Canis lupus familiaris: one gene and its partners. The protein of the gene in region 1 interacts with the protein of each later gene in a pairwise test. Links are inferred from orthologs where the notes say so. Each region holds a gene or a part of one and is shown in the gene's direction. Other genes may lie near its edges. The genes, in order: EFEMP2, NUFIP2, ATXN1, STK16, PRPF31, AMMECR1 and CCDC33.

Region 1 (3,950 bases):
CCTGTGTCTCTGCCTCTCTCTCTCAAATAAATAAAATCTTAAAATATATATATACAATTCACTGGATGCCTGGCTGGTTCAGTCAGAAGAGCACAGGACTCTTGATCTTGAGGTTATAAGTTCGAGCCCTATACTGGGTGTAGAGATTACTTGAATAAATAAATTTTTAAAAAAACTTTATATAATTCAATGGTTTTAGTGTACTTGCTTAACTGAGTAATCATCACCACCATCTGATTTCAGAATATTTTCATACCCCCAAAAGAAACCATGTCAGCAGTCCCCCCTTCCCTTGGCAAACATGAATTTGTCTCCTAGATTTGCCTAATTCTAGATGTGTCGTATTAGTGGAATATGAGGATGTATGTCTGGCTTCTTTCACTTAGGGTAATACTTTCAAGATTCTTCCTTGGTTTTAGCACACACATCAGTACTTCCTTTTTATGACTGAGTGACATTTCATCATATTACCACATTTTGTTTATCCATTCATCAATTAATGAACATTAGATTGTTTCTACATTTTGGATCTTATGAATAACATTGCTATGAATGTTGTGTATAGGTCTTTTTGTATGGACATGTTTTCAATTCCCTTGGGCATGTACATGGGGGTGAAATTTCTGGGTCATGTAACATTCTGAGGTCCTGCCACACCGTTTCCCAAAGAGGACCATCTTAAATTCCCACCTGCAGTGCAGGAAGATTCCAATTTCTCCATTTCCTCACCAACACTTGTTAATGCCTGTCTTTTTGGTTTAGAAGAGCTATTCTTTTTAGCATCCTCGCCCCCGTGGATGTGAAGGATCTGGGGGGTGGAGGGGTGCACTCTCCAAGTCACCTTGAACCCCAAGGGCTGACCTGCGGACCCATTTGCCCCCGTCAGCACACCCTCCCCCTGGGCGGGGCTGCACTGGGGGCGATCGTGAGGCTAAACCCCGGGTGGGAAGGGGAAGGGAGGGCTCAGCGATTCCCGCACTTCGTCTGCCCCCCGGCGGGAGATCCCTGGACACGCGGCCTTTTCCCGTCTGGTCCCGCCCTGAAACGTGGGCAGGAGGAGGCCCCGCCCCTTCCTGGGAGCCAACTCCGCCCAATCTCCTCCCCGAAAGGCGCGCCCTCGCCCTCGGCTCCCGAAAGGAGGCTGGAACCCCGAGGTTGGGGGTGGGGACGCGTTGGGAAGGAGAGCGGCTGGGGCACTGGCACCCGACCCTGGCGTCCGGTACGCGCCAGTTCAGCCCTGCCTGCCTTCTCAGGGGCTTCCATTCATTCTGGGCCAAAAGGCAACTGCAGACCCCGCTCCCAAACCGTTGTGGTTTCGCAGAACGATTGTTGGGAGGAGGCCGTCCAGGAGAGGAGGGACCACCTGCGGCTGACAGCCCTAGGGATGGAGGAGAGAAGGGGCGCACCTGAACTGTTCTGGGCCTGGGAGCGTCTCGTCCTCGGGCGAGGGTCTGGGGCCCCCGAATGAAATTTTGGTGTTCCCAGTATGACTGTACAAGGTGCACAGAGTAAAGGTCTGCAGGGCATAGAGCGAGGGTCTGGAAGCCCCAGGATTAGATGGGGTCCAGGAACCGAGGATGACATTCTGGGAGGCGCAGAGTGTGAAGGCCCAGGCGTTAATTTGTGGGTGCGCAGGGCGGAATTCCAGGAGCCCAGATTTGTAGGGTCCAGGTGCGCAGGGTGACATAGTGGGGTGCACAAAGTGAGGGCCCAGAGGCTCTCGGGTGAGTTTGGGGGCCTGACATCAAGGCCATACACCCGGGATGGGGATCTAGGGGGACCCTGGCCCTGCGCCAGGAGGCGGCTCCGGGCAGCGCCGCGGGGGACCGGGTGGGGGCCTGTGGCTGGCCGGGGGCGGAGAAGCGGGGGGTCGGGGTCCCTCCCCCTGGCGCGGGCTCAGGAATCCGCCGAGGGGCGGGCGGAGGCGCCGGGGTGGGCCGCGCCGCGGCGGGCGGGCGAGCGGGGGGCGCTTCCTGGGGCCGCGCGTCCAGGGAGCTGCGCCGTCCGCCCGTCCGTCTGCCCGCAGGCACTGCCCGAACCAGCCGAGCCGCCGGAGACGCGGGCCGCGGGGGCGTCACGGGCTCAAGTGAGTGGCGGTCGGTGTGGGGAGGGCGCGAGCCGGAGTCTCGGCCGAGTCGGCGTCAGCGCAGAGCCGAGAGGCCCGCGCTCCTCGGCCCGCGCCACTGGGGGACCGGGCGGGGGCGGGGCGGCCCCGGGCGGGTGGGCCCCGAACCCCGGCCTGAGGGTGGAGTGGGCCCTGGGTCCTGGGAAGCTCCGGGGCCCCAGGCACGGTACGGAGCGGGGGGCGGCTGGGGCCAGGGTTCTGAGTTCTGGTACAGGGAATGGGGGTGGGGGTGCGTGGCGGAAGCGCCCTGACCCCCCTTCCCTCCACTACCCCTCCGCCACCTCCCAGCCCCCAGGATGCTCCCCTTCGCCTCCTGCCTCCCCGGGTCTCTACTGCTCTGGGCGCTGCTGCTGTTGCTTTTGGGAGCAGCGTCTCCCCAGGATTCGGAGGAGCCCGACAGCTACACGGTGGGGACAGTGGGGCCACTGGCCTGGGCCGGGCTGGGTTGGGACACAGAGATCAGGATCCTGGGGTGGCTGCTGCTGGGGGAGATTGTCCCCTCCCCTGATTGGTGTAGGAAGCAGCTGGGGGCCATTGTTTGGAGCAGGCTGGGAGGGTGGCCAGACTCAGGCCCTGATCTTGGCCTGGTCATCTGAAGGGGACTGGGGATGACTACTGGTCATCTCTGGTCCCTTTGTAGGAATGCACAGATGGCTATGAGTGGGACCCCGACAGCCAGCACTGCCGGGGTGAGTGTGCCCAGGGAACTGGGGAACTGACCCACCCCCAGGAACTGGGAAAGGGATTGCAAGCTCAGCTCCAAGAGCAGCATCAGGGAGCCCGATGACCTGTCCTCTGCCCAGCTTGGCTTGGCGGAGGCCAGCTCTGATTCTCTGGGGGCCAGCTCAGCTAGGGGTGGAGAAGCCATGCAGGCCCCTCCCTCTCAGAGAAGCCCGGGACATCCTGTCCCCACCACTCAGTGGGCAGGAGAGCAGCAGGGCACTGCCCAGAGGAGCTGGGTCTTGGATACCTCGAACTACTCTCCCGTCTGGCTTTGCCCCATCACGTCCTGGGAGGACAGTGTCTGCGGGGTGGGTAGGGAGGCCTGCCCGTCACTCTTGGGCTGAGCCAGGGCCCAGGCTATGGGGAGGGGTAGAGAGCCTCTTGGGGACAAGAGAATGGGGCTGACTATGGGAATAGCCCCCTGCCCCACCATTTGCCCAGGCAGGCCTTGAGGAGGGGTTCTGAGCAGGGAACCTTAGCTTGTTGAGTCGAGAGAGGAGGCCCTGCCTGGGTCACACAGCTTATAGAAGGCCGGGCTGGGCTCCCACCTGCCACCCACTTCACAGCCAGCCCAGGAGACCGGCTGTGCCCAGCAGACCCCTCTCTGCAGATGTCAACGAGTGCCTGACCATCCCCGAGGCCTGCAAGGGAGAGATGAAATGCATCAACCACTATGGGGGCTACTTGTGCCTGCCCCGCTCAGCCGCTGTCATCAATGATCTGCATGGCGAGGGACCACCACCACCAGTGCCCCCTGCTGAATACCCCAACCCCTGCCTACCAGGCTATGAACCTGACGAGCAAGAGCGCTGTGTGGGTGAGTGAGGGTCACCTTGGCACTAGGGCTTTCAGTCCACCTACTAAGCATCTATCACTGCAACTTAAAAACTCGGACCTCAATTGCTCTCTTGCTCAAAAGCCTCTTCAGAGCTATTGGGATTGCCATCCAGATCCTCACTCTGTGAGGTGCCTGCCACAGGTGGCCCCAGCTCTGGTCTCAGTGCTCTAGCCAGCATCTGGATCCCCCTCTCAGCTGCTAGAGACACACTGCAAGGGCAGGCAAGAGCTCTGCCTCTTAGCTTCTGCCCTCTACCCACTTCCC
Region 2 (3,500 bases), on another chromosome or scaffold:
CATGAGAGACAGAGAGAGAGGTACAGAGACACAGGCAGAGGGAGAAGCAGGCCCCATGCAGGGAGCCCGACATGGGACTCGATTCCGGGTCTCCAGGATCAGGCCCTGGGCTGAAGGCGGCGCTAAACTGCTGAGCCACCGGGCCTGCCCGATTTTTTTTAGGTTTAAAGTGAAAAGTGTAGCTTTAAATTTTGCTCTGTAAAACTTAGCATATAAATTTTTTTTTTTTTCCTTTGCAGAAATGGAATCTGTTTGGAATTTGCAGAAGCAAGGTAAGAATGGTTAGGTTACCTAAAATGTTAGTACTAATGACTAGTGTATGTTTGGGTGGGAATAATCTAGTGTTATTTCACTAAGTGACTAGGCTTTGTATTTTGAATTATTTAATAAATGCAGTTAAAAGACATGGCTGCTATACCAGGATTGCTAAAGATGGAGTAACACTGTAAGTGAAAAGAGTATATGAAAATAGTCTTCACCTTCTAGGTGAAGAACATGAATTTTTTCCCCTCTGATGATGAAAGTAAGACAGAACATAAATACTTTTAATATAGGAAACCAGCATAAATGTTTCCACTTATAGTCAGTCTTTATCTGTATTTGTGGTAGACAAGTGGTAGCCTGAACTGAAATAGTTCAGAAAAATATTAGCTTTTTTTTTATTATTATTATTAGCTATTTTAGACTAGCCTCATTTGTGCTTCAAAGTAATAGATGGTTAAAAATCTAAAGAGCAAAGTAGCTTCCTTCACGAACCACATGTATAAGACATGAATAGTAGGAAGGCGGAGGGACTGAATGATCCACATCTGAATTGTTAAGAATTTTCAAAAAATTTACATTGCTTATCCTCATTATTGTGTGCTTTTCCAAATATATTAAAATGCAGTAGCTGTGGAATACCCGAAATAAAGTTAAGTGTCAGTCTCGAGAAATAGTCACTAATAGAATTGGGCTTTTAGAATCCTGACTGAATTGCATCCATTTCCATCCACTTTGCTAGCTAATACAAGTGAGAGAGGTCACTGTGTAGCTAGCAAGTGGCAAAATTAAATGTAGGTTTCCTTGGGGGCGCCTGGCTGGCTCACTTGGAAGAACAGGAGACTCTTGATCGGGGTTGTGAATTAGAGCCCCACATAGGGTATAGAGATTACTTTAAAAATAAAATCTTTTTTTTTTTTTTTAAAGTAGGTTTCCCTGATTTCCCAGCATTGCTCCTCCTTCCATCTCCCTTGTACTTAGGGCAGGTCTTACTTGTCCAACACAGCTGTGGTCTGAAGGTAACTAGCAAGATCTTATTTTGAGTTTCTTTCTGTGTGCCTTATTCAAAGGAAAATGAAAAAAAGGTAGACTAGAAAATAATATCTGCAAAAGTAGACATCCCTATATTTACTGTAAAATGGTTATTAACTATTTAGAATGAGCATTATCTTCATAGCAGGTTGTTATAGGGTGGCTATTGTAGTCCTAGAAAGGATATTATCTCTGCACTAAATTAGATTGACTCAGGCTGAGGTGAGCTTGAGATCTTTATTACTATTTTTAGGCCTTTATACTTTTCCATTAAGTGACAAGTTTTATTAGTTTCCTATTTTTTATTAAAAGCATGTTTTTTTTTTTTTTAAGTTCTTATGATAGGTAGAAATGGTACATAATAAAATTACTGCCTCTCTTGAAGAAGGAAGCATATAGCTAAATAATTGGGATTTAGAGTAACATTGGAATCTTTATTTATACATGTTGCTGAGAAATGGGAAATTTGGAGGAAGGAAGAAATATGTCATGATTAGGACTGAACTTCCAGTTCTGGCCAAACTTAACCTGAAGTGTTTGGTGCTAGATGTCACTTGAACAGTTCCTTACTAGACATTCCACACAGGTTAAATTAAATTTTGACTTCATTTTATTGAAAAGAACAAAAAAAAAAAAGTCCAAGTATTTGTTTTAGTATTGAATTATTGACAATTTAATAAGGCTTTTATAATTGGGAGAAACACATAAACCCTTGTCACTTGTCAACTGAACTCAACCCCTTTCTAATCCATAGGAGTTGAAGCCCTCACTGGCTAGAGAACCCTGTTCTGGAAATCCTTTGGGATGTCAAACTATTGGGTTGTGGAAAAGTAGATCATTTATGTATTAATACAAAGAAGTCTTTATTTTTTAATTTTTTAGGGGTAGAGGACAGAGGAAGAGAGAGAGAATCCTAAGCATGCTTCACACCCATTACAGAGCCCAACATGGAGCCCAATGCAGGGCTTGATTTCAACCCTGACATGACCTGAGACAAAATTGAGTTAGGTAGAACCTGACACTTAACTAACTGAGCCACCCAGGCGCCCCAAAGAAGTGGTCTTTAATTTGTGTTTATATAAAAGGAGCCAACTAAAATGATGATGGTTATTTGAGATTTGTTATTTGGAATATGGGCATTTTGGCATTTCAGATCTCAGTTTTATTTATGTATTTTTTAACCTTCTCCCCAGATCCCAAAAGGATAATCACTTACAATGAAGCCATGGATAGTCCAGATCAATGAAGGACCAGACTGCCTATTTGTAACCTTTCTGCAGCATTAGAGCCACCGTTCATGGGGGACACAAGGCTTTTATGCTCCTAGATCTTCAACGCAGCAGAGGAACCATAAGTAGAATCACAGGATAATATATACAAATATATATATATACATATATATATATAGTTATTTAAAAAAAAAAGGCAACTGAAAGTAATTAGACTTCTTAAGGAATCAAATTTATTTCAAGAGACTACACATGGTTATTTAATCTCCGGTACTGAATAGTTTTTTTTTTTTTTCTTTTTTCTTTTGTTAATTTTTGTTTTTAAGTGTGAATGCAAGTGATTAATGAATACAGACTTATTAACAAGCGTGGTTCTAAAGTTCCTGCTGTCATCAACTTGGGCAAGAAATGACCCACTGGAAAGGCAAATCCACTTTTAAAAGATCTGTATCTTGTTCTGTGACTAAAGTGATACACTAATCACGGGGAACCCAGAATGATTCAACATTTTCCCCCCACTCCTCCCTTGATCTTTTGGTTATACTTTGAGCCCTGCGAGAATGCTGGATAAATGCCTTGAAGTTTGCAGGGGTGTATTTTTTTAGCGAATATGATTTGCATGTCTTGCCAGGAGTTAAGCAGCCTCTGTGGGGTGTTGGGGAAATTCTTTCTTTCTTTTCCTTTTATTTTTTGTGGGGTGGGCTTAGGGGAGGGCATTGAAGTTCTATAATTCTGGAATAGTTGATGGTACATAGTTCACTTGGCTTTGGTTACATGGACTTTAACAAGTGAAGAATCCATGAATGTCATTTGAAGAAAAGTTACAGAACAAACAATTGGCTTTAGAGATTTAATATGAAAAAATATTCCTTTGCCCATATTTTAATGTAATTGTATAAGTGGGAGCAAAAATATATTCTGCTTTTCAACTGTAGGTGCTCCAGACTTGCTCTCTGTCACTAACACTAAATGTGCTGT
Region 3 (2,611 bases), on another chromosome or scaffold:
TACTTCATTGTTCTTTTTCTTTTTTATATAGCATAAAGTTGAAGAAAATAAATTTCTATGAAAATTAAACTGTTAGAACCTCAAGTGCATTTCAACCTAATTCAATGGCAACGGTAGGGCTTTCACTGGACACTATCTCCTTGCCTATGCTCACCTATCTCCGCTTCCAAGAGTGGGTTCCCATTGCAACCGCACCTGTACTCCACCCCCGTTATGTTTGAAAACTCAGCACAGTGTATCCTCATCCAAGAAAACTCCCTTAATCACCTCTTCTTCAAACTGGTCTGTGCCTTTCCTCTGCCCTCCAACAACCTGATACTGGTATTAAAGTATTATAACCCCACTCACCGTGTTGATTGGCAATTATGTTCATGTGTCTCTTTTGGCCACCGATTGTGAGCTACTTTGGGACTAGGACTAGGGCTGGCTTTTTCCGTTTATTTCCTTAGCACAATACACAGGTTGCACATGATGATAGAGAAGAGAGCAACCTATTGAGAGGATATTGAGCTTCCCCACTTTTGGTATTTATCTTCAAACAAATGCACGGGCTGATTTGAGTACCTGGTGCTTGACCTTGGATGGGCCAACTACTTGAGCTCTCTGTGTCCTAAATTTTATCATCTCCCCAACATTGTCCACCCCTCAAACCTCTCCAAATGCTGCCCAGCCCTCAGCTCGGGTAAACAGGGAAGCCCTCTCTGTTTACTGTGTCTGCTCCTTTCGATTCTTGAGTACACACTCATTTACCCAATAAATATTTATTAAGCTTCCACCATATGCCAGGTGCCCTTTTAGGGGCCAGGGATATAGCGATAAACAGGTAAGGGCTGCCTTCCGGAGCTTGTATACAGTCTCACTCTGATCCCTAATTATACAAGAATAGCATTTGTCCAGCGAGCTGATAAAAGTGCAAGACTTTTATCTTGTGCTCTCGCTTGAGTCCCCTGCAGAGCCTAGCTTAGTACTAAACACCAAGTACCTGTTCTGGCGTCCTTGGGGACCGATCCATTTGTTTTTAATTTTATTTATTTATTCATGAGAGACACAGACAGAGAGGCACAGATATAGACAGAGGGAGAAGCAAGCTCCCTGCTGGGAGCCCGCTGTAGGACTTGATCCCAGGACCCCAGGGATCACGACCTGAGCCAGAGAGGCTGATGCTCAACCCCTGAGCCACCCAGGTGGCCCTGGATCCATTTGTCTTAAAGGAGGCCGGCTAGAGAGCCCATAGTTAGTGAAATGATATTCTGAACACTAAGTGGACTTTTACTGGCTTCCCCCCAACACCCATATACGGTTAAGTACTGGTGCAACCAAAAATTAAGAGCCTCCTTTGTGTGTGTTGGTGGATGAGGTTTGTGGAAGGAAGTCTTATTTTTTTTTCCTCCTCATTTTGCTTATGCCCAGGCGGCAGGCAGTGTAAGACATAAAACAAGAATAAAGCATCCTCCTCATCCTCCTTCCTCTCTGTCTCTGTTTCCACAGGTCAGCGTGGAGGTTTTGGTAGAGTACCCTTTTTTTGTGTTTGGACAGGGCTGGTCATCTTGCTGTCCAGAGAGAACCAGCCAGCTCTTCGACCTGCCGTGCTCCAAGCTCTCCGTTGGGGACGTCTGCATCTCGCTGACCCTCAAGAACCTGAGGAACGGCTCTGTTAAGAAGGGCCCGCCCGTGGATCCCGCCAGCGTCCTGCTGAAGCACTCAAAGAGCGACGGCCTGGCAGGCAGCAGACACAGGTACGCCGAGCAGGAGAACGGCATCAACCAGGGAAGTGCCCAGATGCTGGCCGAGAATGGCGAACTCAAGTTTCCAGAAAAAATAGGATTGCCTGCAGCGCCCTTGCTCACCAAAATAGAACCCAGCAAGCCCGCAGCAACGAGGAAGAGGAGGTGGTCGGCCCCGGAGACCCGCAAACTGGAGAAGTCGGAAGACGAGCCACCTTTGACTCTTCCTAAGCCTTCTCTAATTCCTCAGGAGGTTAAGATTTGCATTGAAGGCCGGTCTAACGTAGGCAAGTAGAGGCAGCGCGGGGAAAGGAAACTCGGCTCCCCCTTCTCATTTGTATCCAGATTACTGTACTGTAGGCTAAATAACACAGTATTTACATGTTACCCTCCTTAGGTTTCTGTTATAACCTTGTCATTAGAGTTACAGCCGGTGTCGCGCAGGAGACTGGTGCACGCGCTTTCCCACGAGGGCCTGGCCCGGCCGTGAGCGCGGCAGGTGCAGGTGGAGGGGGCCGGGCGCGCAGCCCAGGAAGCCCCCGCCGCTCGCCCCGAGGATGCTCGGAGGGCGGGGGAGCTGCAGGGGGGCGGGGGGGGGGCTCGCGTGGGCTCCCGCGTGGGCGCGTGCACGCGGGGAGGGGGGCACAGGTGCACGGCCGCCGAGGCTCTCCGTCCTTCCCTCGGCCTCCCCCTGCCCCCCTGCCTCTTGCCCTCCGCCCGGGACTGGAGGCCCCAGGGGGAGCATCCTCGTGAGGTCCTCCTCCCGTGCAAAGCCGACATCAGGAACCCCGCTCGCCGCAGGGCATGCTAGAGAGGCATCAGACAGCCCGTGGAAAGCTCCCCGTGTAAAAGAACCTTCTTTTTTTTTTTCCTTCCTCCAACATATT
Region 4 (4,191 bases), on another chromosome or scaffold:
GGGAGCCATGGCGCTAACAGGGCTCCTCTATTCAGAGAGGGCGGTCCGGCTGTCACGTGGTGGATTCCTGGGAGGGAACCTCAGCGAGCAAGGGGGCGGAGACCACCTCAAGTCACCAGGCAATTAGCCTGGACTTGTCCACCCGCGCTACTCTACTAGTTTGTAAGATCCTCTACATCTTGAATCCGCTTCATCAGCATCACCTGGGAGCTTGTTAGAAATGCAGAGTCTCAGGTCCTACCTCAGACCTATTAGAATCAGAATTTGGATTTTAACAAGATTCCCAGGCGATCCGAAAGGCATTCAAGATTGAGAAGCACTGTGGTACTAAACTGAGCTCCCTGAGGGTGAAGAGTACCTTGTCCATCTTGCATCCTCAGCTTCTAGCACGGGACTCGGTACATAGCAGGTTAAATCTAGATGAATGAATGTCGGAACCAGGGGGCTAAAACAGGTTCGGAATCAATCTTCCCAGTGGTGTGAAAGTAGGAACCAAGTTATAAATGGGATTTTTTTTTTTTTCTCCTAGTGGCCCTGCTACAGCAAAAGAGACCACCTCAGCCATTCTGTCTTCTTTGGATGTCCACCGCTCTTCAATTTATCCCTGCCCTGCCTCAGCGAGAGCTGTCAAGAACAACTACCTGGGGCCAAGGCTTGGGAATTTATGAATTTCCATGACTCCTGCCTTCACAATCCCAAGCCTGGGATGTAAGGACCAGGATAAGAAAAATAGAATCATAATAAAAATAACAGCAACTTCTATTTATTGACACCAAGGCTGTGTCAGATAGTGTGCTAAGCACTTTACATCTCACTTCATCTTCAAAAAGCTCCGTGCAGTTGGTAATTATCACTCCCATTTTACCCATGAGGGAATTGAGAGGCAGAAATTTTAAATAGTCTGCTCAAGGTCACGCAGCTAGTTTAGCAGAGCTGGGAGCTGCAGCCTGGCCTCCCCGTACGGGCACCTAACCTTAGGTACTGTTAGAGCTTGTTTACAACTGGGGAAACCGAGGCTCTGAGAGGTTAAGTCGTCCAAGGTCACGCAGCTAGTAAGCTCTTAACCACTGAAACTAGGGTAGTGGGATGCAGGCCTGAGCCCCGAAGGGTGCACCGATCGGCGCTGTGGGGGTCCAGGCCGCCGGCCCCCGCCCGGCCCCCGCCCCTCGGGGCTGGACTGCAGCTTCCTACCTCCGGCATTGGGAGACGGGGGGCCTGGGGGGCCTCGGGCCGAGCCCGGCTTTGCTCCCCTTGGGCGCGGGTGCCTGCGTCCTGCCCACTACTGAAGGCCTGGTGTGGAACCCTCACCGGGTCCCGGGACCCGTGCTCCCCCGCGCCTTAGCCCGCCCCCGGCCTCTCAGCTCCGCGCCCCCACATCCTCCGGATGCCCTGCGGTTGCTAGGATACCGCGGGCCGTTACGCCGGCGCGGCCTGATGACGTAGACGCTCCTTCCGGTCCGCGGCGCTCGTCTCCGGCCGGAGCCAGGTCAGTGGGGAGTCGGGGCCGGCCCTCCCGGGGCTCTGCGCGCCGAGGCCGGGGCGGGCCCCGCCGGGTGGGCCCGGGCCTCGCCCCCACGCTCCGCGGCTGCCGAGGCGGCCCGACGGCGAGGACGCGGCCTGGGCGTCGCGGCGTGGCCCGAGGCTCCAGGGCACCCGACCTCGGCCGTGCCCGAGCCGGCGTCGCCAAGGCTCGTTTCCTCTGCGTTCCGAGGCCCGGGCGCCAGCTCTGCACGTCGGCACTTCGGGGGTCGTGCCTGGCCCACGACCCTGCCGTCCTTTGCCTTCCAGCATGATCCGCGGGGCCCCCAGCGCGTCGCCTGGAAGAGCCCCCTCAGCCCGCACGCGGCCGTCGGCAGCCCCGGACCGCCCCTGAGGAGGATGACTGAGGCGCTATGGGCCACGCGCTGTGTGTCTGCTCCCGGGGAACCGTCCTCATTGACAACAAGCGCTACCTCTTCATCCAGAAACTGGGGGAGGGGTGAGTGTTGAAATCGCCTAGCCAGCCCCCAGGGTTCTGGTGAGTGAAGGACAGCAGTCTGCACGTGATAGGGCCTCAGGAGGTTCATCCTTGTAAAGCATCCTTTAGCTCCCCTGACAGAGCCTAGCAACCCGAATGCCAAGAAAGTGGATTCTGGAGCCAGGCCTCCTGGCTCCACCTGGTGTGACCTTAAGCCGTGGTTTCATCATCTGCTTAATGGAGATAATCATCTTTTTTTTTTTTTTTTTAAGATTTTATTTATTAGAGACACACACACACGCACATGCACAGGCAGAGGGAGAAGCAGGCCCCATGCAGGGAGCCCGATGCGGGACTCGATCCTGGGTCTCCAGGGTCAGGCCCTGGGCTGAAGGCTGCGCTAAACCGCTGGGCCACCCGGGCTGCCCTGGAGATAATTATCTTTTGTCGCTGATGGAGTTGTGAGGATTAAATGAGATAGTGCATAGAAATCATCTCACCAAAAAGAGAAAAAATAATAATAATAATCTCACCCAGGGCCCGGTTCACAGCACTTGACAGATGTTGACTGTTACTTACTCATGTAACATTTCCGGAGCATTTGTCACGTGCAGAGCTGTGCATTATGACCAAGGTACCTCAAAGATTGCTGTGTTCCTACCCTTGAGCTCAAAGTGTAAAATCTTCAGACTTCTCCTGAAGCCACGTCTTGGGAGGGTTTCTGCTGACTGGGAAAGACACCCCCTCCCCTCCCCACCCAGGGAGTTCCTCTGGGTCCAAGCAGTGTGGGAGATGACCGTGGTCCTTCACTGACCCCTTTGGCCCACAGTGGGTTCAGCTATGTGGACCTAGTGGAGGGGTTACATGATGGACACTTCTACGCCCTGAAGCGGATCCTGTGTCACGAGCAGCAGGATCGGGAGGAAGCCCAACGAGAAGCAGACATGCATCGCCTCTTCCATCACCCCAACATCCTCCGCCTTGTGGCTTATTGTCTGAGGGAGCGGGGCACTAAACATGAGGCCTGGCTGCTGCTACCCTTCTTCAAGGTCAGAAAGTCTCCTGGCAATGGAGGGGCTTGCAACAGAGTCATCTACCGAGGGCTGTGTGAGTAGCCAAGCACGTTAGGAAGCAGAGACCATGTCCTGTGTTGGACCGCTTCAGATTTGGGGTTTAGGGGAACCCAAGTGGGACTGTGAGGTGTGTAGTGTGTGTGGTGAAAGAGCTGCTAGGCTGTGACACAGGGAAGGGATCAGGCTGAGGGAGCAGAGACCCAGAAAACCTGTCCAACCGTGGGGAAACTTGTGTTGCAGAGGGGTACGCTGTGGAACGAGATAGAAAGGCTGAAGGACAAAGGCAACTTCTTGACTGAAGATCAAATCCTTCAGCTGCTGCTGGGTATCTGCAGAGGCCTTGAGGCCATTCATGCCAGAGGTTATGCCCACAGGTCAGTGGGAGGGCCCAGTGTGCTTATGGGGCAGAAAGAAAGAGCCTCACCAAAAGGATTGAGTGGTCTCTGCTCTCCTCCCAAGGAACAGTCCCCATGATTCTTTTGCCCCCAGGGATTCTAGTCTCCCTATCCAGGGATGTTCATGGGCCATTTATTTCCACTTTCCTGCAGGGACCTGAAGCCCACCAATATCTTGCTTGGAGATGAGGGGCAGCCAGTTTTAATGGACTTGGGTTCCATGAATCAAGCTTGCATCCATGTGGAAGGCTCCCGCCAGGCTCTGGCCCTGCAGGTAAAAGAGTGTCCAGGTTCCTTTGCCCTCCTGTTCCCCATCCTCAGCCTTTCCTGTTGCATGCCCCAGTTTGGTCACATGACTATGACCTGTGCCTCTCTTTTGAGCTATGGGGCCACTCTTCCAGGACTGGGCAGCCCAGCGATGCACCATCTCCTACCGCGCCCCAGAGCTCTTCTCCGTGCAGAGCCACTGTGTCATTGATGAGCGGACTGATGTCTGGGTGAGGAGCATGTGGGGGGGCACATGGATGGGGAGGAGTACCGCTCTGTACCTGCTGTGCAGCAGAGGGGCAGGTCTTTGGTTTCGATTGCATGGGGCCCCAGGAACCGTGTATGTCCCCATCCCCCTCGACTTCCTTCCTGGGAACCGTCACTGACACTGTACTCAATTGCTCAGGAAGTGGTATCATTCCTCCCTTTGAACAGAATGAGTACAGCTAAGTGTCAGGACTGAAGGCAGTGGCAAGCAGGGGGTGCAGAAGCCTCCAGC
Region 5 (3,500 bases), on another chromosome or scaffold:
GCCCGTGTGGACAGCTTCCACGAGAGCACAGAAGGGAAGGTGAGGCACAGCAGGCATCTGTGTGGGTCTGTCTCCTCTACCAGACTTGTCATTGTTCAGGTCATCACTGAGTTTACCTCTATCTCTCTTGGCAGACTTGCTCCATGAAAGTGGGTATATCTTGTCTTGTGCAGTCTGGCACAGTGTCCAGGCTTCAGTCTCTTTCTCTCACTGCCCCCCACTTTTCCTCTTGACCACTGGTTGAGGTTCCAGTGGGGACAGCAGTGAGCACTCCGACCAAAGCCATGCCCCTGTGGCATTCATGTTCTGGCTGGGGGCGGGGTGAGGACACGGGCCATCTGTGGTGTGTCCAGGGATGCCACATAAATGCTAGGGTGGGATCAAAGGGTGCTGGGCTGGTGAGGGAGGTTGAGTTTAACCCGGACGTTGGGGAGGGCTTTGCTGCAAAGGTGAAGGTCTAATCTGCACCCAAGTGAAGTTGGTGCAAGTGAAGCAAGTTGGTGAAGTGAAGCAAGTCAAGTGAGTGCCTGGGGGAAGAGTCCTAGGAAGGAGAAGCAGCCAGTGCAATGGCCCTGAGCCTGGCCCACAGGAAGCCAGGGAGAGGAGGCTGTGGGATGGGACAGGTCACGCAGAGCCTGTGTGCCCCAGAGAGACCTTGGCTGTAGCAGAGATGCTGAGGGGTGCGATTTGGGGTCTTAACTGAAGGAAAAGCCCAGAGGGAGAGAAGCCAGAGGTGAGGCTCCCAAGTGACCTCCCTTTACCAACTTGTGCAGGCCGGAGCTGGAGGCTGGGGAAGAGGTGCAGGTGTGCGGTTTGGCCCTGTTGCACTCGGGGGCTGCCCTCCTTCTCCCCCATCAAGGACAGAATTATATGAGGGGTGCTGGGAGAAGTCTGAGTCTCCCAAGAAACACAGGCCCCCCAGGCCTGGGAACAGGTGCCACACACAGGTAGAGGGATGGGCAAGGCTCAATGGGACCCCCTGCCCTCCCCAGGTGGGATATGAGCTGAAGGATGAAATCGAGCGCAAGTTTGACAAATGGCAGGAGCCGCCGCCCGTGAAGCAGGTGAAGCCCCTGCCTGCACCCCTGGACGGGCAGCGCAAGAAGCGAGGTGGCCGCAGGTAGGCCCTGAGGGCCAGTGGGGGTGAAGAGGAGGGGAAGGGGCTTGTGACCCCAGCTGACCCCTGGCGCCCCTCCCCAGGTACCGCAAGATGAAGGAGCGGCTAGGGCTGACCGAGATCCGGAAGCAGGCCAACCGCATGAGCTTCGGAGAGGTCAAAGCCTTAGTCTGGATGTCCCCACCACATTTCTTCTCGGCTGAGGCAGCACCTCACCTCCAGCCTCCCCCCACATCCATGTACCCTGAAGGGACCTATGCAGCATTCAGTGTTGGCCCTGTCCCCCGACCCCCACCCTTTTGTACACACCTCCCTGTCGGGTTGGATCTGCCCAGGGAGGGTCCTTCCTCAGGCTTCACCTCTGCCAGACTCATTACCCAAGCATCATCCTCATGGTCCTGCAAGAACCAGCTCAAACACCCTCTAGTCAGCAAGCCCAGTTTTGGTTGTTGACACTGCATACATGAACACTCACAGCTTCCCTCAACTGTCAGCTCAGGGAGCCGTAATAGGACTGGACTCCTCACTGGGCCCCAGCAGGCACCTGAATCGGGTCAGTGCCTGGGGCATCCGGCTGATGAAAGATGGCTAACTCTTGGTTACCTTCCCCTCCCACCAGATCGAGGAAGACGCCTACCAAGAGGACCTGGGCTTCAGCCTGGGCCATCTGGGCAAATCAGGCAGCGGGCGGGTACGGCAGACACAGGTGAACGAGGCCACCAAAGCCAGGATCTCTAAGACACTGCAGGTACAGGCGGGGCCTGAGTGGGCCTGGGAGTCTGGGAGCTCCAGCAGGAGAGCCCAAGCCAAGCCCAAACATCCTGTCCCCTCCCCTCCACACAGCGGACCCTGCAGAAGCAGAGTGTCGTGTATGGCGGGAAGTCCACCATCCGTGACCGCTCCTCGGGGACTGCTTCCAGTGTGGCTTTCACCCCTTTGCAGGTACTGTGCACCTGAGTCAGGAGGCCCAGTTCTGGGCAGGCTCTACTCCCAGCTTTCTGAGTGGACCTGGGCAAGCCCCTTCCTCTCGCAGGGCTGTTGTGGACAGCCTTGTGTATCAGTGAAGCCCCTGAAAGGTACAGCTCAGTTCCTGGTGCTCAGGCTAGTGGGAGCAGAAGGGAAAAGGTCTGCCTGCAAGTGCAGGCTGGCTTTAGGATCGGGCTGGGACTAGGGGTGACTACTGATTCCCCATGACCTCAAGTGGGCTCAGCTCCTCCCTGAGGTGCTAAGTGGCTGGGACAACCTCAGGGCTCCACGGAAGAAAACTCAAAGGTAGCTGGCTGGGAAGCAGAGGTCCCAGCCCAGCCACTCATGCACAGGACAGAGCCTCTGCATCTGTCCATTTCTCAGCCTACCCACAGATAGCGCCAGCACGCCCCATAGCATCGAGTAGAATAACTGAGTTCATTGGCAACATCAGCAAGGGTGTACTGAGCACCTAAGTTTCAGGTGCTGTTGCAGGCACTGGGGATAGAGCCACAAGCACAAGACAGCAAGCCTTGCCCTCAGGGAGCTTGTGGGGTGGCAGGGGTCAGATAAGATATGGAGCCTGGTGGAAAGTGGAAAGTGCAGGGAAGAAAGGGGAGAGGGAGTGAGGCATCGGGTTGGACCCGCCCAGGGAGGCCTCAGCAAGAAGGTCAGAATTACCTGTGGAAGATACTGGGAATGGTGCCAGCCAGTGTGGAGCCCCCACAGCTGGACGCCGTGTCACCAGTAGGCTTGGTGTAATTTGCACGAGGGCCAGAGGTGAGCCACTTAGCTCTGTGACTCAGTTTCCTTATTCAGGAACCAAACCCGGTCAGCTGTTCTGAAACATTGATTTTTTTTTTTTAAGATTTTTATTTATTTATTTATTCATGAGAGACATACAGAGAGAGAGAGACAGAGACACAGGCAGAGGGAGAAGCAGGCTCCATGCAGGAGGCCTGATGTGGGACCCCATCCCGGGTCTCCAGGATCATCAGGCCCTGGGCTGAAGGCGGCGCTAAACTGCTGAGCCACCTGGGCTGCCCAACATTGATGCTTTTAAAATTGCTTAGAGAACTTGATAAAAATTCAGATGCCCAGGTCCTCCCCACTCTTCCCTCTTCCCAGAGCCACAGTTAGAATCTCCCCAGGTTTGGGGTGGGGGCAATTTGGTAATTGGAAAACTGTTCTATCACCTGGAGCCCGGAACCATTGAAAAGGGCCTCCCCGACATGTCACAATTCTCTTACTGGGTAAGGGGGCCTTGTCAGGGGCCAGCCCATCTCCCCACCCCATCATTACCTCATTCACCTGCCCAGGGCCTAGAGATTGTGAACCCACAAGCAGCTGAGAAGAAGGTGGCTGAAGCCAACCAGAAGTATTTCTCCAGCATGGCCGAGTTCCTCAAGGTCAAGGG
Region 6 (3,500 bases), on another chromosome or scaffold:
CATAATACATAATATTCAGTATTTGTTGAAATTTGGGGGTTGGTTTTTTTTTTTTCTAAACTAGACTTAACAAATCAATCAATAACGTGAAGTTTAAATGAGGACTCAAGCTGTTGGGCCATGCTGGTTATGGCTTTGTCCAGGTTGTAGTTATTATTTCATTATATATTAACTGTGGGACTACCTCATCTGTAAAATAGGAATGTTTGTAATAGAATTACTCAGGCTCTTAGGGTTGTTGATGAGGATTAATATAATTTGTTTAAAACATTTATCATGCTGCCTAACATATAGAATACACTCAGTACATTCCAGATATAATTATTGTTAAATGCAGTCCCATTAGGCTAGACTCAGCCCCTTGGGGGCCTGTCATGTAGTCTTTATGTCTCAGGTACCTAACCATGCATATGATAAATATTCAATAAATAACTGTCTTGAGTTGAATTGATGGATTGACCTTATTTTTATCTCCCGTTACAGCCCACTGTTTGTAACATGGAAGATTGGTCGAGACAAAAGATTGCGTGGATGCATAGGTACTTTTTCTGCCATGAACTTGCATTCAGGACTCAGGGAGTACACACTTACCAGGTGAAGACCAATTTTTGTTACCTCTGCTTCTACGTTAAAAGAAAAAAAACTTATGAAACTTGAACCTGATACTTTAACTCCTTTGCTTTACTAAATTGTTAACATTCTTGACTCCTTTCACATCAGATTTTTCCTTCTCTTCAACATTTGCCTTATCCCTGGTAAAATTTTATTGCCACATTTTATCAAAATATAAAATACTGTAATTACATTGTATTTTGCCATAAATGTTTTAAAGTGTCTTCCTTCAAAGGCCAGCTTATTTTGTATAACTTGAAAATGGATGCCCAAAAGTCAATGGCTTACCACAATGTATTATTTCCTTAATAACACTGTGTCTTCTCTGTTAGGCTTTGTAAGAATTGTTGATGTCATCTTACATGTATTGTTGCACTTTTATGTACTCCTGCAATGGAGGGGAGAGCCTAGGAAGAAAGGGATGCCACAGCCTGGCAGTGTTATCATTCACATTCACACTTTACCCAGAATTAATTGTAGCTTACTTATTTTGTTTCGTCTAACACAAGGACAAAGTAATGAATGCCTCATTGCAGTTGTTAAGGCTTTGTTTTTAATTTCCAAACGCACAAAAAGCTATCGAGTATGCCATCTGATTTTTTTTTTTTTGGTTCAAGTTTAGATTTCTAGCAAATTATGTTCCAGAATTATTTCAAAAGAAGAAAATTCCTTAAATAATAAGCTATTAGTAAAGGAATTTCCTGTTTTTGTTCATATTTCAGGGTGATTATCTGATACAATTTCTATAGTTGTAATACGCACAAGTATCTGTCCAACAACAAATTGGTCCCTGCTGACTGTTGGTACTTGGGGCACATTGCTTAACCTCCAACAGATAAAGTAGTAATTACAGGGTTTTGTTCTATATACTTAGTAGGGATGTTAGGGAGGTGTTAGGGGAATGAAATAATATCCAGTCACTACTTTGCTTCTGGAGTAACATTGCAGAACATTCATTATTTTATTATAGGATTGTATAAATGCAGCTTGTGGTAGCAGTTAATAAAATATTGGTAACTGAGTTTAGTATTCTTTTTTTTGAGTTTAGTATTCTTATATTTGAAGGTACAGCTCACAACTACAGGGTTTTCTTAGCTTACAGTGAAATTGGAAAGAAAAGCAAAGGCTTGGAGGGTCACCCTCACTTTTTATATTTGCACAGGCATTAGAATTGAGTGTTTGGACTTGATTAAGAACATACAGGCAGTAAAAAGATCAAAACACGAATTCTAGAAATGACTTGAACTTGCCAAAGATAGCGTAAATGCTAGTCTAAGCAAGTTAGATTTTTTTTTCCTGACATGAAATACCATGGACTCATTTTGGGACTTTAGCAAATTCTGCCAGAGACTACCTCTTTGGGACAAGTACATACAAAATTACTTTTTTAATATATAATCAAAGGCAATTTATTACACATTTCCTAAAATAAGTTGTTATGAGGAACACTGGCTCCTTGGTTATTGCTTGGAAAAAAAGGATTCTATAGCCAAATAAAATTGGGGAACATTGGTTAAGCAAATTTAAGCAGCTGTGCTCACTGCAGGACTTCTCAGAACCTTTTACGTCAATAGTGTTGTGAGTCTCTGAGTGAGATCTAGAATGCAGCATTTCCCAATTCAACTCTTTTGACCACAGAACCCTTTTATCCTCCCACTCCATTCATTGTCTTAGGCCATTAGTATCCCAAGGAATACATTTTTAGAAATATAAGTCTGTCATAAAATTTCCATTTTTCTTTATAGTTGAAAAGTCCAAGTGGATAGTACAGAAACCCTTTGTACTTTCTAATGAAATTGTGGCAGAAATCCCAGTATCAAATGTTATATACTTTAGAAATCCTTAGTAGTAGTGACTGTAGTAAGAGTTTGGTTTTGTTTAAAGAAAAGATGAAATCTTTACCTACACTGATAAGAAGGGATGAAAATATTCAACTTTTCCGGACTTGTGGATCTGTCTCCTAGGGGTATTACCAGAAGAATTTTAGTATTTTTCTGACAATAATGTGACTCTGAATGAAACATTCAAATAGCTCAGCTTGGAAATTTGCCTGCATTTGTATATATGGTTACCTTCATTGTAATCTATGGTCTTCCTGTTTATTTTTCAACTTTCTTCTCATGTTTTTATACAACTTCCTGAAATGGTGTATGGCACAGTAGATATGTGTGTTCATGTGTGTGTATACACATGTACATACCTTGACTTTTTTTTTAAGATTTTATTTATTTATTCATGAGAGAGACAGAGAGGCAGAGACACAGGCAGAGGGAGAAGCAGGCTCCATACAGGGAGCCCAACGCGGGACTCGATCCTGCGACTCCAGGATCACGCCCTGGGCCGAAGGCAGGAGCTAAACTGCTGAGCACCCAGGGATCCCCCTTGTCTTTTTGCTTCTGTTTGGCTTAATTCCTTTTGCTTATATAGCAATAAGAATGTAGTTATTTGGAAGAGATGAACAAAAGAAAACACATCTTACAATATTACAATTGCTCTTTTTTTCTAGATTCAGCTTAGAGTCAAAACTGTGGAGTCATCTTTAAAAAAGTTGCAGCATAATATCTTTCAGCTAAATAGGAGGCACTTATCATTTCTACAAGGTGCTGTTGATGGTATTATTGATAGCTGTCATTTATTAAAACATGCAAAGTAAAAACTTTGTTGAAACTTCAGAGGAGCTTTATATGCATGTTACTTACAACTCAGGTATTAATGCCACATTTTAAAAATGAGGAAACTGCAGTTTACAGAATTTAAGTAATTTATCCACTTACACATCTAGTAAGTGGTAGAACCAGGATTCAAACCTAGGCCATCTGACTATAAAGTCCAAGCTCTTAATTACAACATTCAAGATAAGACAATGTAAGTTTTTCTGAGAAATTGTG
Region 7 (4,011 bases), on another chromosome or scaffold:
AATGGGAGGTGAGGCCTAGTTTTTCTGTCTTGAAACTGGGGAGGGCCACATCCTCCTTGCCTTTCTCTAGACTAGGGCTGCCGGGGGAAGGAGCAGTCCTCCACAAAGCCATAGCTCCTACCTCTTGCTGCCAGAGTGGGCCTGCTTTTGGTCCCCAGGCCCAGGACAATGCAAAGAACACTTAGTATGGGGACGCCTGGGGGAGCTCAGTGGTTGAGCCTCTGCCTTCAGCCCAGGGCATGATCCTGGAGACCTGGGATCATGGCAGATCGAGTCCCACATCGGGCTCCCTGCATGGAGCCTGCTTCTCTCCCTGCCTGTGTCTCTGCCTCTCTCTCTGGATCTCTCATGAATAAATAAATAAAATCTTAAAAAAAAAAAAAAAACAGTATGGAGTCTAAAACCGCTGGCCAGAGAACGAGGCAGGCCACAGGAGTCTTCCAGATGCCTGTCAACCCCACCTAGTACCCCAGATCTCACGTTTCCTAGCCCAGGATTCCTGGCCATGCTGCCTAGCATCTCCGTGGAGCCGACCTCACCCCAGGCCAGGGGCCAGCCACCCCTCATTCTGGCCTCTCCCTGCACAGAAAAGCACTTGGAACCGTGCCTGGCACATAGTAAGTGCTACGTAAAAAGAACGGTTATCTTTGTAATAATTCCTTACGGAGCTCAGAATTGGACTAGTCATAATACTGGGTCCATCCCCCAGAACATTGTTGGCTCTCTTCAGTTATTTATAATTTATTTTTGATGATATGATGAACACCCATTAACTGGCCGATGTAAGCGGCGTTACGATAACATACCTCCTTGATCCCCGTTCTCTCTGCCACCTTCCCACTCAGCCTCCAAATGAAACCATTTTCTCCAACGTTGTGTTTATGATTATTCAACAAATGAGAGACTACGGGCACCCAAAGAGGCAGGACGGCTGCAGATTCCTTAACCGAAATAGCTGTTAGCCAAGTTGTAACTTCCTGCGAGCAGGGTCTCAGCCTCCACCACCGGGCTGGGCCACTGGTGAATCCTGGTGGACGTGCAGTTCGGGGTACAAAGAGCAGGGAGGGTGAGGAGTGAGGGCCACAATGCAGGCAAAACCCAGCTCCCAAAACATGGAGAAGGGCTTCTGAGCCCCCACCCCACTCCACCTGGACTCTACCTGGGGGACTTGTGCTCTGCCCTGTGATGTCACACAGCGTTGCCCAGGTGATCCTGCCGGGGGGAAGAGCTCATAGCTTTTCCAGGCCTGGAGAGAGGCAAACCCCTGTCTTTACCTTCCTGGGGGTACCGAGAGCCAATTGGTTCAGCCGCTGACCCTATGGAGCTGGTCATGGCCCAGAGGCCTGAAGCCAACTGCACTTAAAGAATGTCTCGCTACTGAGAAAGCTCCAGGCTGCCCTCCTCCCCGGCCCCGCGGGTCCCCCTGCCTGTTACCCTGTCCAGGTCCCAGAGCCCGTGTATGGCACCCCTGAGACAACACTGACGCTCCTTACGGTACACCAAGCCCAAAGGCTCCAAGGTGCTCAGGCCAGCTGCCTGGACAGGACTGATGCCTGATTGCCCACGGATATCAGGTACTGGTCCCCAAGATCTGTAAACAAGGTCAAACACTCCTGCCCCTGAAGAGATGGGACGGAAAAAGAAAAAGGTGAGGCCTGAGGGCATGGGTCCTGCGCTTGCATGAGTTCATTTCTCCTTCAAAGTCCCTTGTTGTATTTGCTTCTAAATCACGACCAAAGCTTCCCTTCTCTGGGTCTCAGTGTTCTCAGCTGCGAAATGGAGAGCAAGGAGGTCTCTGCGATGCTTCCAAGTTAGGCATGCTAGACTCCTGGGCCACATGGGATCTGAAATTCGGCATGCTTGCAGGTGTTGTCAGCCCCCGCCACCCTTACTTCGTTGTCTCTGCCTGGTATCCCCATGACCCAGGGAAAAATGTAGCTTGAACTGGTACCTTCCCCTACCAACAGCCTGGAAAGGAGTTTTTGCCCCATTGTCACGGAGGCTCCGAGACCCCACTGAGATGGCTCCCCATCACCCTCCAAGATCGAGGAGATTCCCAGGCTGCTGCCCAAAGCTCCACTATCTTATGCCCCTCCAGCCCTGGCTCAGACCCTTGCCCCAGGCCACAGATGCTCAACTCCTAGAAAGAAGGGATTCTGGTCAGTTTTGATCACTGCTGCATCCCCAACACTCAGCACAGCACCTGACACATAGTAGGTGCTTAATAAATAGCAGGAACAGAGCAGCGAGACCCTGCCAGGAGGGAACGAAGATCCCAGTGCCGTGAAATGCAAACAGTTTTAAAAAATGAATAAATCTTTTTTAAAAATGCAAACAGTTTAGTATGAGGCTTCTCCTTACCCTCTGCTGACTGTCAAGGCAGAGCCAAGGCCCTTGACTGTGCCAAGTACCAACAGGGAGGGCAGAGTGAGCTGAGACCAAAGGCACCAGGTACTTGCTAACTTGGAATAGCCTCTTTGCAGTTAGACTCAAACCAAATAATCTACGTGCCCCACTGTGGTTTCTACTTTATTACCCTTGACTTTGGTGTCTGTGGTTCCTGGCGTTCTCTCCCTACAGCTGCCTCCTCCCCTTGACTCCACCCTCCCCCTTTCAGCTCCTTTCTAAATGTCAGGGGCGCTAAGTGGCCAGCTGGTCCTGACGCTCATTCCCACCTGCCCACCTGAGCTGGATTTGGGGATCTGAGGAGCATGCATGGGAGCCCTGAGAAGGACACAGATTTGTTTCATTTAATCCATAACTTAGTGGAACATTTTCAATGACTGAGTACAATGCCCTGTAAGGACGTGCATATCACGTACACGGTAGCGCACAGTCACATTTCTTCTTGCGTGAATCTTCCATAGATCTTAGACGTCAGTGCTCTCTGTGTAGTAAGGAAATTCATTCTTTTATACATATTGCAAATATTTTCTCCTGTTTGTCTTTCCTTCGTATCGTGGTGAATTGGTGGTTATCACAGAAGTTGGCATGGATATTTAGTGGAATCAAAGCGTCAGTCCTTCCCTTTATGAGTTGTGACTTTTGTGTCATCTTCGGAAAAGCCTCTTCTCCCTGAATAGCACAACTCCTACTGCTCCCACTAACAAGCACGGGGCTCCCCGGATCAGGAGCCCAAGGGCATATACGTTGTGGCCCATAGAAAGCTCAGCACATCCAGAGAGCAGAGCAGGGACGTCTGCGAGCTGAGCCGAGCGCCCAGATGCAAGTGCTTTTGCCTCCCTGAGCCCGTTTCCCCACCTAGGTTGTGGCCATCACAATCCCCAAGGAAGTTTAGATGCTGAAACTAGAAGGAACACGCAGGATCATTTTTTAACCCAAAACCTTATGACACAGCTGCAAAACTGAAGCAGGGGTGGGAGGGAGCATTTGTCCTGATGCAGGCGCCTCTCGGAGGGAAGCCTGCAGATCCTCATCCAGACGGAGGAAGGGGAGGCAGGGAGGTTGGCTCACGGCCCCCACTCCAGGCCTCACACTTAGGTCCTGGCCTCCCTGGCTCTGGGCCCAGCCAGCCCAGCGGGCACATGCCTGCAGGCCTCACCAGGAGGTGCCAGCCTGGCAGCTGGCCGCCTGCCCAGAAGTGAAGCCCCAGCAGTTTCCATCAATTCCCCCCCCACCCGCCCCGGAAGCTTGATTTCCCAGAAGGCTGTCCCAGAGCAAGTAGGGGACAGAGAGGGGGCCGCAATTCATGGGCCCGGTCTGCAAAATCACTGATTGGGCTCCGGGGCTACCAGAGTCAGTGAGAGCCCTTGGGCAGCTGCCGTGCTGCTGGGCCCTCACTTCTGGGGCCCCAGGGAGCTGGGGACAGGCCCCGTACCACACAGCAACAAGGGGGATGGGGCCACCCTCTTAGGCTGCTCCTGGGAATCGGGCCATCGGAGAGACATTAGTCATCTCTCCTGGCCTCACCGCAGGAACCATAGGCCGGTTACAGGGAAGACTGAATTACAACCATCCCAGACATCCCCACTGACCAGGAGGGAAAGTGAG

Evidence for each region.
Region 2: the proteins of EFEMP2 (region 1) and NUFIP2 interact in binary tests that used the Homo sapiens proteins (3 or more experiments, as listed by UniProt). The two-hybrid records come from large-scale screens. The link is inferred for Canis lupus familiaris from reciprocal best matches to the Homo sapiens genes EFEMP2 and NUFIP2.
Region 3: the proteins of EFEMP2 (region 1) and ATXN1 interact in binary tests that used the Homo sapiens proteins (3 or more experiments, as listed by UniProt). The link is inferred for Canis lupus familiaris from reciprocal best matches to the Homo sapiens genes EFEMP2 and ATXN1.
Region 4: the proteins of EFEMP2 (region 1) and STK16 interact in binary tests that used the Homo sapiens proteins (3 or more experiments, as listed by UniProt). The two-hybrid records come from large-scale screens. The link is inferred for Canis lupus familiaris from reciprocal best matches to the Homo sapiens genes EFEMP2 and STK16.
Region 5: the proteins of EFEMP2 (region 1) and PRPF31 interact in binary tests that used the Homo sapiens proteins (3 or more experiments, as listed by UniProt). The two-hybrid records come from large-scale screens. The link is inferred for Canis lupus familiaris from reciprocal best matches to the Homo sapiens genes EFEMP2 and PRPF31.
Region 6: the proteins of EFEMP2 (region 1) and AMMECR1 interact in binary tests that used the Homo sapiens proteins (3 or more experiments, as listed by UniProt). The two-hybrid records come from large-scale screens. The link is inferred for Canis lupus familiaris from reciprocal best matches to the Homo sapiens genes EFEMP2 and AMMECR1.
Region 7: the proteins of EFEMP2 (region 1) and CCDC33 interact in a two-hybrid assay, tested with the Homo sapiens proteins (2 studies listed by BioGRID). The two-hybrid records come from large-scale screens. The link is inferred for Canis lupus familiaris from reciprocal best matches to the Homo sapiens genes EFEMP2 and CCDC33.

The regions. Positions count from the first base shown.
Region 1 is NC_049239.1:51,889,671-51,893,620, forward strand, and holds the start of EFEMP2 (EGF-containing fibulin-like extracellular matrix protein 2), read left to right. Parts: upstream 1-1,150; 5' UTR 1,151-1,219; intron 1,220-2,026; 5' UTR 2,027-2,086; intron 2,087-2,413; 5' UTR 2,414-2,421; coding exon 2,422-2,532; intron 2,533-2,765; coding exon 2,766-2,814; intron 2,815-3,458; coding exon 3,459-3,665; intron 3,666-3,950. UniProt on the Homo sapiens protein: Plays a crucial role in elastic fiber formation in tissue, and in the formation of ultrastructural connections between elastic laminae and smooth muscle cells in the aorta, therefore participates in terminal differentiation and maturation of smooth muscle cell (SMC) and in the mechanical properties and wall integrity maintenance of the aorta.
Region 2 is NC_049230.1:43,359,261-43,362,760, reverse strand, and holds part of NUFIP2 (nuclear fragile X mental retardation-interacting protein 2), read left to right. Parts: intron 1-239; coding exon 240-272; intron 273-1,188; coding exon 1,189-1,280; intron 1,281-2,486; coding exon 2,487-2,501; coding exon of another isoform or gene 2,502-2,539; 3' UTR 2,540-3,500. UniProt on the Homo sapiens protein: Binds RNA.
Region 3 is NC_049256.1:16,756,517-16,759,127, reverse strand, and holds the end of ATXN1 (ataxin-1), read left to right. Parts: intron 1-1,488; coding exon 1,489-2,019; 3' UTR 2,020-2,111; downstream 2,112-2,611. UniProt on the Homo sapiens protein: Chromatin-binding factor that repress Notch signaling in the absence of Notch intracellular domain by acting as a CBF1 corepressor. Binds to the HEY promoter and might assist, along with NCOR2, RBPJ-mediated repression. Binds RNA in vitro.
Region 4 is NC_049258.1:25,668,216-25,672,406, forward strand, and holds the start of STK16 (serine/threonine-protein kinase 16), read left to right. Parts: upstream 1-1,391; 5' UTR 1,392-1,486; intron 1,487-1,788; 5' UTR 1,789-1,892; coding exon 1,893-1,978; intron 1,979-2,567; exon of another isoform or gene 2,568-2,582; coding exon of another isoform or gene 2,583-2,591; intron 2,592-2,786; coding exon 2,787-3,006; intron 3,007-3,270; coding exon 3,271-3,404; intron 3,405-3,578; coding exon 3,579-3,699; intron 3,700-3,826; coding exon 3,827-3,922; intron 3,923-4,191. Other genes in the region: GLB1L (beta-galactosidase-1-like protein), read right to left, coding at 1-9. UniProt on the Homo sapiens protein: Membrane-associated protein kinase that phosphorylates on serine and threonine residues. In vitro substrates include DRG1, ENO1 and EIF4EBP1. Also autophosphorylates. May be involved in secretory vesicle trafficking or intracellular signaling.
Region 5 is NC_049222.1:103,832,247-103,835,746, reverse strand, and holds part of PRPF31 (U4/U6 small nuclear ribonucleoprotein Prp31), read left to right. Parts: coding exon 1-39; intron 40-992; coding exon 993-1,120; intron 1,121-1,200; coding exon 1,201-1,273; intron 1,274-1,736; coding exon 1,737-1,865; intron 1,866-1,960; coding exon 1,961-2,059; intron 2,060-3,402; coding exon 3,403-3,500. UniProt on the Homo sapiens protein: Involved in pre-mRNA splicing as component of the spliceosome. Required for the assembly of the U4/U5/U6 tri-snRNP complex, one of the building blocks of the spliceosome.
Region 6 is NC_049260.1:84,112,699-84,116,198, reverse strand, and holds part of AMMECR1 (AMME syndrome candidate gene 1 protein), read left to right. Parts: intron 1-483; coding exon 484-594; intron 595-3,500.
Region 7 is NC_049251.1:37,823,362-37,827,372, forward strand, and holds the start of CCDC33 (coiled-coil domain-containing protein 33), read left to right. Parts: upstream 1-1,211; 5' UTR 1,212-1,627; coding exon 1,628-1,648; intron 1,649-4,011.